3 linked regions of the Macaca fascicularis genome follow. The main gene of each other region encodes a partner of the protein of the gene in region 3 in a complex. Links are inferred from orthologs where the notes say so. Each region holds a gene or a part of one and is shown on either strand. Other genes may lie near its edges.

What was found.
Region 1: the proteins of EDN1 (region 3) and EDNRA are in contact, whole or in part, in a cryo-EM structure (PDB 8HCQ), measured with the Homo sapiens proteins. The link is inferred for Macaca fascicularis from reciprocal best matches to the Homo sapiens genes EDN1 and EDNRA. Residues at the interface, in NP_001403492.1 of Homo sapiens: Cys53, Ser54, Leu58, Asp60, Lys61, Glu62, Cys63, Val64, Tyr65, Phe66, Cys67, His68, Leu69, Asp70, Ile71, Ile72, Trp73; in NP_001948.1 of Homo sapiens: Tyr68, Gln72, Thr73, Lys74, Tyr129, Asp133, Ile136, Asn137, Lys140, Leu141, Gly144, Arg145, Trp146, Gln165, Lys166, Val169, Glu220, Phe224, Val227, Phe229, Tyr231, His236, Lys237, Thr238, Cys239, Met240, Leu241, Asn242, Gln252, Lys255.
Region 2: the proteins of EDN1 (region 3) and EDNRB are in contact, whole or in part, in a cryo-EM structure (PDB 8XWP), measured with the Homo sapiens proteins. The link is inferred for Macaca fascicularis from reciprocal best matches to the Homo sapiens genes EDN1 and EDNRB. Residues at the interface, in NP_001403492.1 of Homo sapiens: Cys53, Ser54, Cys55, Ser56, Ser57, Leu58, Glu62, Cys63, Val64, Tyr65, Phe66, Cys67, His68, Leu69, Asp70, Ile71, Ile72, Trp73; in NP_000106.1 of Homo sapiens: Pro88, Pro89, Ile94, Glu95, Ile157, Asn158, Lys161, Glu165, Asp166, Trp167, Val177, Pro178, Gln181, Lys182, Val185, Phe240, Ile243, Met245, Tyr247, Leu252, Ile254, Leu256, Leu257, His258, Pro259, Lys270, Lys273, Leu277, Trp336, Leu339.

What each region holds. Positions count from the first base shown.
Region 1 is NC_088379.1:152,369,546-152,373,301, forward strand, and holds the start of EDNRA (endothelin-1 receptor), read left to right. Parts: upstream 1-1,418; 5' UTR 1,419-1,831; intron 1,832-3,756. UniProt on the Homo sapiens protein: Receptor for endothelin-1. Mediates its action by association with G proteins that activate a phosphatidylinositol-calcium second messenger system. The rank order of binding affinities for ET-A is: ET1 > ET2 >> ET3.
Region 2 is NC_088391.1:68,911,510-68,915,165, reverse strand, and holds part of EDNRB (endothelin receptor type B), read left to right. Parts: intron 1-1,144; coding exon 1,145-1,279; 3' UTR 1,280-3,656. UniProt on the Homo sapiens protein: Non-specific receptor for endothelin 1, 2, and 3. Mediates its action by association with G proteins that activate a phosphatidylinositol-calcium second messenger system.
Region 3 is NC_088378.1:160,651,128-160,653,459, forward strand, and holds the end of EDN1 (endothelin-1), read right to left. Parts: intron 1,864-2,332; coding exon 1,758-1,863; 3' UTR 628-1,757; downstream 1-627. UniProt on the Homo sapiens protein: Endothelins are endothelium-derived vasoconstrictor peptides. Probable ligand for G-protein coupled receptors EDNRA and EDNRB which activates PTK2B, BCAR1, BCAR3 and, GTPases RAP1 and RHOA cascade in glomerular mesangial cells.

The sequences.
Region 1 (3,756 bases), on a different chromosome or scaffold from region 3:
CCTTTCCCGAAAATACTGTGAGCTTGCCAAGCCACATGCCCAAAGGGTCACCTTTTTTTAATGTAAACGATGGCACTTATGAAAGCTATTAGTTATTCTGATTGGCCAATTCTCCCTCATAAAGAAGCTGTAAGATTAATGCACAGGGTAATACCTAGTCTAACCCTACTAGATGACTATTAAGGCCTTTTTCAGTGGTAGTGTTCTGTAGATCTCTTTGATGGTTTTACAAAATGGTCCCTAAATTATTTGACACTCCTCACATTGAGGGTTGGGCTCTATAGATTCTCACCTTCAATCTGGGATCTGCGACTGCTCGACTAATAGAATGGAGCAGAAATGACACAGTGCCAATTTCTGGGCCCAGCCCTTAAGAAACTGGCAGCTTCCACTTTCTGTCTCTGGGGACATTCACTCTTGGATCCCCGCCACCATGCTGTGAGGAAGCCCAAACCACAAGTCTCCACAAGTCTCTGTGGAGAGACGCACGTGGAGAAAAACTAACACTCAACACCAAGCAAGTGAACTATCTTGGAAGTAGATCCTCTAGCCCCTGTTACATGGAGCAAAAACGAGCCGTCCCAGACAGGCTCTGCCCAAACTGCAGACTGATAAACAGAGTAAATGAGTGTTGTTGTTTTAAGCCACTACATTTTATAGTGATTTGTTTAGCTGCAACAGATAACCGGAACAGCATGGGATACAACGTGACCAGTGCTCCAACCTCACATTTCTACAATGTGCTGACTCTAGCAGTGCACTGAAGGACTCCAAGGCAGACCTTCCCTGAGGAGCCCCCAGTTTTTACTCACATGTCACAGGCAGTGGCCTTTGTCCCTCATCTCCTCTCCCACCCCCAATTTAGGATAAAGTCTCTGCCATGATAAAGATACTGAGACCCACTTTCTGTAAGGTCTGCTTCCTCATTGTTTGAATTTCTTGAGGTTTCACGGAGCCACACACTGGAACCTTCGTTCGTCTCTCCTGAGGCTCCTTCTTCGCCCTGGGTTGGAGGTCTGTAGCCGTGGGATGCCGGCTACAAGGGACAAGATAGAAGCAAACCACCTGATCCAGTAAACTGCTGTCCACTTCGGCTCCTCAATGGCCTCCAAGCCTAAAAGGGAGCACACAAGCCAAGCAAAGAGGGCAGGGAAGACGGAGAAGAAACCACCCGCGGGCCCTGGCTCTGGGTCCAGTTGTTCCATCACAAATCAAATCTGCCTGCACTAAGTGGATAGGTTCCTCTGCAAGGCCTTTCGGAATTCTGAGTCCTGTCTGTCAAACTCTACCCTCTCTCCTCCACATCCCCCACCTCTTCTTTCAGGAAGGAAATAGTTAAAAAAGACTCCTGCCCTTCGGGGCCTGGAAGGGGGCGGCAGCTTTGTGCTTTTTAGTGGTGGCTGTGTCCCAGGATAGCTGGAAGGTTAGGACGCTCTTGCGGTCCCAGAGTGGAGTGGAAGTTCTGGAGCTTTGGGAGGAGACGGGGAGGACAGACTGGAGGCGTGTTCCTCCGGAGTTTTCTTTTCCGTGCGAGCCCTCGCGCGCGCGTACAGTCATCCCGCTGGTCTGACGATTGTGGAGAGGAGGTGGAGAGGCTTCATCCATCCCACCCGGTCGTCGCGGGGAATTGGGGTCCCAGCGAGACCTCCCCCGGAGAAGCAGTGCCCAGGAAGTTTTCTGAAGCCGGGGTAGCTGTGCAGCCGGAGCCGCCGCCGCGCCGGAGCCCGGGACACCGGCCACCCTCCGCGCCACCCACCCTTGCCGGCTCCGGCTTCCTCTGGCCCAGGCGCCTCGCGGACCCGGCAGCTGTCTGCGCCCGCCGAGCTCCACGGTTGGTTGCAAGTCCTTCTTATCGGGACTAGGACTGGGACGGGTGCGGGGATGGCGGATACACTGCGTGGGCCCCTGGGTCGGGGGAAGACGAGAACTGGGAACGTTCTGGCCCGAACTCCCTGCAGCTTGGGCGACCCGTCGCAGCAGGGGCTGGCACCCACCTGCCCCAGGGCGCGTGGGGAGGCGGGCGCCTTCTGTGAGGGGTGCGGTCCGGGAACGTGTAGGGTTCGGGGAACTTCACCTCCCCACGTGTAGGATTTAGGATTCGGAGTTTTAGGAAGAGGAAGCCCAATGGTTTTCCCTGGGTGAACCCTTTTCCCCAGGCATGCAAGAACTTTGAGGAACACCGAGCTCTGTGGCTTGCTCCAGCGCCTACTTGTGAAGTTGGTTCCACAGCCTTTTCTTACTCGCTTGCTTTTCCTCCCCCACATCTGGGTCTGGGTATGCCAAGGGTAGCCAAGGGCACTCGGTGTGAGGGACTGAGGTGTTTGGGAAAACCCCCAGTGTAGCTAGTTTTGGAAATCTGCCTGTGAAGGTCTGGGTGTTTTGTTCTGTGCTCGCCTTTAAAGGACACTTGTTGCTTCGCACGTGCAGAAAACAAGAGCTGCTTCTAGATAATCACCCTCTGTTTACATCATCCTAATGGCTTTCCCCTGATAGAGTTGGGGGTGGGAGGCACGTTAAAGTCAGGCGTTGTCTCTAAGGAGAGTTGCTCATTTCTTAACCGGAGAGCAAACCCACAGAAAACTTGTAAAAAGTGCCTAGTTTCCTTGTTTTTTCCCCCACCTGTAGTTGTCTATGTGTTCGCTGATTGAGAAACACCTTGGCAGTCATTTCTGTAAATTGAATGCTCTAAACTCATGCCATTTTGATAGGGTCTGAATTTCCAAATTACCAATTACAGGTGAACTTTGATCCTGAAAGTCTCATATGTTAAATGGTTAAAATGTAAGCGTAAGGATTCAGTCCTCTTCCTTAATAATAGTTTTTGCACTCCCCAAACTCTCAGACCCCAAACAGGAAGAATGCTGAATCTGTAGACCATGCCCTTCAGGTCTGAACCTGAGATGCTTCACTAGCGCTGTGACTGATTATGACTGATGATTCAAAGCACAGCCTGACTCAGATTCCTGGAAATGAACTACGAGCCCACCTTGGAAGAACCTGCAGTTGATGGGCTTCTTTCATTTGATTTTGTACTTTCACCCAATGATAATATGACATCCACATGCCTTTGCCAAGTATCCCTTCGTTTTGCAGCTTACCATGTGTGGAGAGCTGACAGAGAAGTCATCAGAAATGATTTCTGTGGTGGTGTCATTGTTGGAAGAGGAAGGAAGGGGGTTTTAATGATAGCTGGCTCGTGCCTTAAGAACCCACAGCGTTGGCCTTACTTCCTGCCATAATCTAACCAAGCAGACCAGCATGCTAAGGTTCAAAGCACCACGGGACCTCTGATGAGTAGAGCAGTACCCACCGTAGCCAGGTCTTCACAGGTCAGTTCCCAGCCGACTGGAACTGGCAGAAAGCCATTCCATTTCTGGAAAAGGCCTTCTCTCTCTCATTTTTAAGAAAGCTGTTATTGAAGGTTCTGTTTCACTTGGGAAGCTGGAAGACATTAGTCACTAAACAGCACAAGATATGAAAGTATTTCTTCTCCCCCTGTCTCTGTGATCCAAAGAGGAGGATGACAAGAAGCTTTTCTCTTGGAGTCCTGGTCTTCCCTTTGGAATAGAAATGGTGTCATTTCATAGGTCTGTCAATTTTTGGCCAGATACTCACTCCAGATTATAAGAAGCAGGAAAAAACTGCAAACTGTTTATAATTAAGTCTAATCAGAGCTGAAAATTACATGGCCTGCCTCTAACCTTGAAAAATTGATATTTTTCCCATTTAATCAGAGTGAGTCAAGTCCTATAAGCA
Region 2 (3,656 bases), on a different chromosome or scaffold from region 3:
TAAATTAATTCCTTTTTTACATGGACTATGAGAATAATAAGGTAAACAAAAAAATAGTTTAGGTTTTACCTCTTTCTACCTTTTTTGTATAACAGTGATGTGCTGTTCAATGTGAAATACATAAAATTCCTTCTTCAGCTACTTGCATTTTATCATCCTTCTATTCATTCACTCCTTCAACAATCTAACATGAAATAAAATATCCCCTCCCCTAATACGAAAATCATCCATTTGTCATTGGTATTTCATTACTGGAAAGCTGAGAACGTAGCTCCCGTGTAAACACTAAGTCAGCCTATATCATTCTTTGCCCACTCATAACTCAAATTTTAGAGCTGGAAGAGAACTTCCGTCAGTATCAACACCTTCATTTTATAGAATATAAAATCGTGGACTTCCCATTTTCTTTTACATATAGAATGAACAGAAGACAAACAGAATGAACAAAATTTTATATTTAAAAAATTTCAAGAAAAAAATTGGATGAAGAAAACTGAGATGCTTTTGTACTATATAACCTTATTGTTTAACAATATTGAAAAGAGACATGAGAATACATGGCTGAAAAAATAAGAAAGCAGTATTAAATTAATTGACATGAAAAGATATTTATGTCACTGTCAAGTGAGAAAAAGCAGGTTAAATCTCCTCAGCAAAGTGGCTTAGAATAACTTGGGATGAGATGTGTGTGAAAGTATCTACAAGGTTATGGAGTATACATATAGTACAGTCTCACTAAAATATACTCACATTCTCAAGCACATGCACATATACATGTGTATAATTTATTTATTTCATGTATGTGCACATATTTCTGTTTTCATGGGGAAAAGTCTTGAATTATATGTTTATCAAATATTAAGAATATTTATCAAATAACCAAGAGTAAGTATCAATTAAAAGTGGCTTTCTCTTGATGAGAAATCTTAACTATGTAGTTTTTTTCTTCTCTGCATGTTTTAGTCAAAAATTATCATATGCTAATTCTGTGAGTATATTCTTTTAAGAGGGAAAATAAAAGAGCACCGAAAGACAGGGCCCAAGAACTCCTAATTATGCAAAGAAAGTCAGAACCCTGGAGAGGAGGAAGAGTTGAGAAAGGTGACTGATGTTAACATATAATGAGTTACTTTGTTTTGTACAGTCATGCTTATGCTGCTGGTGCCAGTCATTTGAAGAAAAACAGTCCTTGGAGGAAAAGCAGTCGTGCTTAAAGTTCAAAGCTAATGATCACGGATATGACAACTTCCGTTCCAGTAATAAATACAGCTCATCTTGAAAGAAGAACTATTCACTGTATTTCATTTTCTTTATATTGGACCGAAGTCATTAAAACAAAATGAAACATTTGTCAAAACAAAACAAAAAACTATGTATTTGCACAGCACACTATTAAAATATTAAGTGTAATTATTTTAACACTCATAGCTACATATGACATTTTATGAGCTGTTTACAGCATGGAAAGAAAATCAGTGGGAATTAAGAAAGCCTCGTTGTGAAAGCACTTACTTTTTTACGGTTAGCACTTCAACATAGCTCTTAATAACTTCCAGGATATTCACACAACCCTTAGGCTTAAGATGAGCTCACTCGGAATTTCTATTTAAGAGATTTATTTTTAAATCAATGTGAATCTGATACAAAGGAAGAATAAGTCACTGTAAAACAGAACTTTTAAATGAAGCTTAAATTACTCAATTTGAAATTTTAAAATCCTTTAAAACAACTTTTTAATTAATATTATCACACTATTGATCAGACTGTAATTAGATGCAAATGAGAGAGCAGTTTAGTTGTATTTTTTGGACACTAGAAACATTTAAATGATCAGGAGGGAGTAACTGAAAGAGCAAGGCTGTTTTTGAAAATCATTACACTCCTTTCACTAGAAGCCCAAACCTCAGCATTCTGCAATATGTAACCAACATGTTACAAACAAGCAGCATGTAATAAACTGGCACATGTGTGAGCCAAATCTAAAATATAATACTTTTTAAAAGAAAATTATTACACCCTTTACATTCAGATAAGATCAAACCTCACAAAGAGAAATAGAATGTTTGAAAGGCTACCCCAAAAGATTTCTTTGAATCTGCCATTCACATAGCCTGTGAAGAAAATACTATCTACAAATTTTTCAGGATTATTAAAATCTTCTTCTTTCACTATTGTAGCTTAAACTCTGTTTGGTTTTGTCATCTATAAATATTTAGCTACATACACTGCATGTAGACGATTAAACGAGGGCAGGCCCTGTGTTCATAGCTTTACAATGGAGAGATGCCAGTGACCTCATAATAGAGACTGTGAACTGCCTGGTGCGGTGTCCACATGACAAGGGGGCAGGTAGCACCCTCTCTCACCCATGCTGTAGTTAAAATGGTTTCTAGCGTATGTATAATGCTGTAGTTAAAACACTATTTTTCAAAATCATACAGATTAGTACATTTAACGGCTACCTGTAAAGCTTATTACTAATTTTTGTATTATTTTTGTAAATAGCCAATAGAAAAGTGTGCTTGACGTGGTGCTTTTCTTTCACTTAGAGGCAAAACTGCTTTTTGAGACTGTAAGAACCTCTTAGCTTTGTGCGTTCCTGCCTAATTTTTAAATCTTCTAAGCAAAGTGCCTTAGAATAGCTTGGGATGAGATGTGTGTGAAAGTATGTACAAGAGAAAACGGAAGACAGAGGAAATGAGGTGGGGTGAGAGGAAACTCATGGGGACAGATTCCCATTCTTAGCCTAACATTCGTCATTGCCTCGTCACACCAATGCAAAAGGTCCTGATTTTGTTCCAGCAAAACACAGTGCAATGTTCTCAGAGTGACTTTAGAAATAAATTGGGCCCAAGAGCTTTAACTCGGTCTTAAAATATGCCCAAATTTTTACTTTTTTTTTCTTTTAGTAAACTGGGCCACATGTTGGAAATAAGCTAGTAATGTTGTTTTCTGTCAATATCGAATGTGATGGTGCAGTAAACCAAAACCCAACAATGTGGCCAGAAAGAAAGAGCAATAATAATTAATTCACATGCCATGTGGATTCTATTTATAAATCACCCACAAACTTGTTTTTTAATTTCATCCCAATCATTTTTTCAGAGGCCTGTTATCATAGAAGACATTTTAGACTTGCAATTTTAAATTAACTTTGAATCACTAATATTTTCAGTTTATTAATATATTTTTATTTCTATTTAAATTTTAGATTATTTTTATTACCATGTACTGAATTTTTATATCCTGATACCCTTTCCTTCTCCATGTCAGTATCATGTTCTGTAATTATCTTACCAAATTTTGAAACTGCACACAAAAAGCATACTTGCATTATTTATAATAAAATTGCATTCAGTGGCTTTTTAAAAAAATGTTTGATTCAAAATTTTAACATACTGATAAGTAAGAAACAATAATAATTTCTTTATATACTCAAAACCAAGATAGAAAAAGGTGCTATTATTTAACTTCAAAACATGTTTCCTAGTATTAAGAACTTTAATATAGCAACAGACAAAATTATTGTTAACATGAATGTTACAGCTCAGAAGATTTATAAAAGATTTTAACCTATTTTCTCCCTTATTATCCACTGCTAATGTGGATGTATGTTCAAACACCTTTTAGTATTGATAGCTTACATATGGCCAAAG
Region 3 (2,332 bases):
GGAAGTGGTGCTTTGTGGCAGATGACCTAGAATCAGTACCTGGTGTCTCTACCTCCATGGGCATATGGCCAGTCCTAGGCTATCACGAAGAAGCAATGGTACTCAATGTTCCTTAAAAAACAAACTCCTTAATGTGAGAAAATAAAAAGCCATTGGAAACCTCTACTTGCTCTGAGCAGGCCATTTTCTAAACGCAACTCTGGTGTGTAACTTTGTATAATTAGGTATGTTTTGGGGGGTTGTCTTGCCATTACTTCCTTCAGTCCATTACTACGGAGAAAGCATCTCTCACCACACCATCAGCTTAAACTGTTGAATCCTGCCTAATAGCCTGAGCCAAGTTAATGGATGAAGTCCCTGGAGAGTTTTTAGGTGAAGGGGAAGCAGGAGGCTGCTACCCAAGAGAAGACAGAGGTATTAAAGCTGCTTTTTTGTTTTGTGTTTTTACCTCAATGCAATGTAAAATCAACATTTAAGAGGTAGGTAAAATTCTTTCTATAATTAGCTCAGACTGTAATATCCTTTTAATTGTCACTTTTCTACAAAACCATCTTTAACCATTTGCCTTTATAATTCTTAATCACTTTGGCCCACTCCTTAGAAATTTCAGTAATGATTCAAAATCAGTACAGTAAGGAAAAAAAAATATTTATTTTCTAAAGTCATTACCTTGACAGGCAAAACAAAGCATGTTCTCAATTTCATTTAGAAATACATATTTTAAAAATACATAGACCAATATGGCCTGCCCAAACAGATATTTAACATGGTAAATATAAGGAATAAATTGTTTGAATATAAATATCTATAAAAAAATAAGTACGTCAAAATTCAATCCAACCTCTTTCATTAGCCGGTTATATAAAGGAAAATAATTTTACTGCTTTAAAGCATAACAAACACTTACTTTTCAATATATTTCATAAACCACCCTATGCCATTGTGTCTCCAAAAATCAAGGATAGGGAATCTCCTGATTTAATGATCTTTTTTTTTCTTATGGATCAGAGCTAGTAGATTACCATGAAAATATTATATCTACTGCTGACACATTAGACCAGACTTCTACGAGGCTAGGATTTAGTATGGGGGATGGAGAAAGGGGAAGCAGGGGTGGGAAGAGTTTGGGGAGGCAATAATTAAATGTGGGAATACTTCTGCCAGAGTGCAATATAGGTGAGGTAGACTCATATTCTTGAAACATATCCTGATTTACGGCAGTAACAGTTTCATTCAGTTTTGCGTTTTACAAATTTAAACAAAAGTCTTTTTTTTTTTTCTTTTTACTTGCATGTTTGTCTTTTGAGTATGTTTTCAATTTGTGCATTCCTTAGAAAATCTTTGCGTGGACTTTGGAGTTTCTCCCTGAAATGTGCCAGGCGCCTGAGTCAGACACAAACACTCCCTTAGGACCTTTGTCAGAAACTCCACCCTGGTGTGGAATCTCCTTCCTCTTTCTGGAGGATGCCACCCGAATTCGAATGTCACTGTGCATTTCTGCTTTCTGAGAGGTCCATGGTCATCCCCAGATGAAAGAAGAGACCAAAGCAGTTACCACCGATGCAAGCCAATGAAGACAGTTTGGGGGAACTCCTTAACCTTTCTTGGAATGTTTTGAACAAGGACGCTGGTCCTTTGCCAGTCAGGAACAAGCAGAGAGGATGCTCCTGCTCTGATCCCAGCCAGGGTGGAGAGTGCAGAATCGGCCACAGGGCTCTCCGTGGAGGCTATGGCTTCAGACAGGCCCCGAAGGTCTGTCACCAATGTGCTCGGTTGTGGGTCACATAATGCTCTCTGGAGGGCTTGGCTTTCAGCCTGGGATCATGAAAAGATGATTTGACACTGTTTCTCATGGTCTCCGTCCTAATAAAGCAAGATAAGAGAAAACAAATGTTATCTTTAAAAAATCACCCTTTGGCAAGATAAACATCTAAAATCAGAATCTGGCACAAACAAAACCTGAATCTGGCTGTGAACTTTCACCACCCACCGCAACTCTTTGATAAAACCTCAAGTGATATCTATTACCATTGTAAAAATAAAGCTGGCCCCTATGCTTAGAATGGGAGAGAGGGGTCATATGGTCAAGTCTAAGGGGAATTGGGCAGTAAATACAAGTTTTAAATAAACTAGAGGTGTTCTGGTTTCTTCTGTAGCCCCAACCCAACCTTCACCACAATGCAACCCTGCCTTGAGGAACTCAGCTAGGTTTTGAATAGTTATGGCCATCTTAATAAATTGACAGTGATTTAGTTGAGAAGAGAGAAAAAGAAAAAAGAAAAGAGGCATACAGTAGGCCCAGAGCAAATACTTTATGGCAATTATTTTAAAA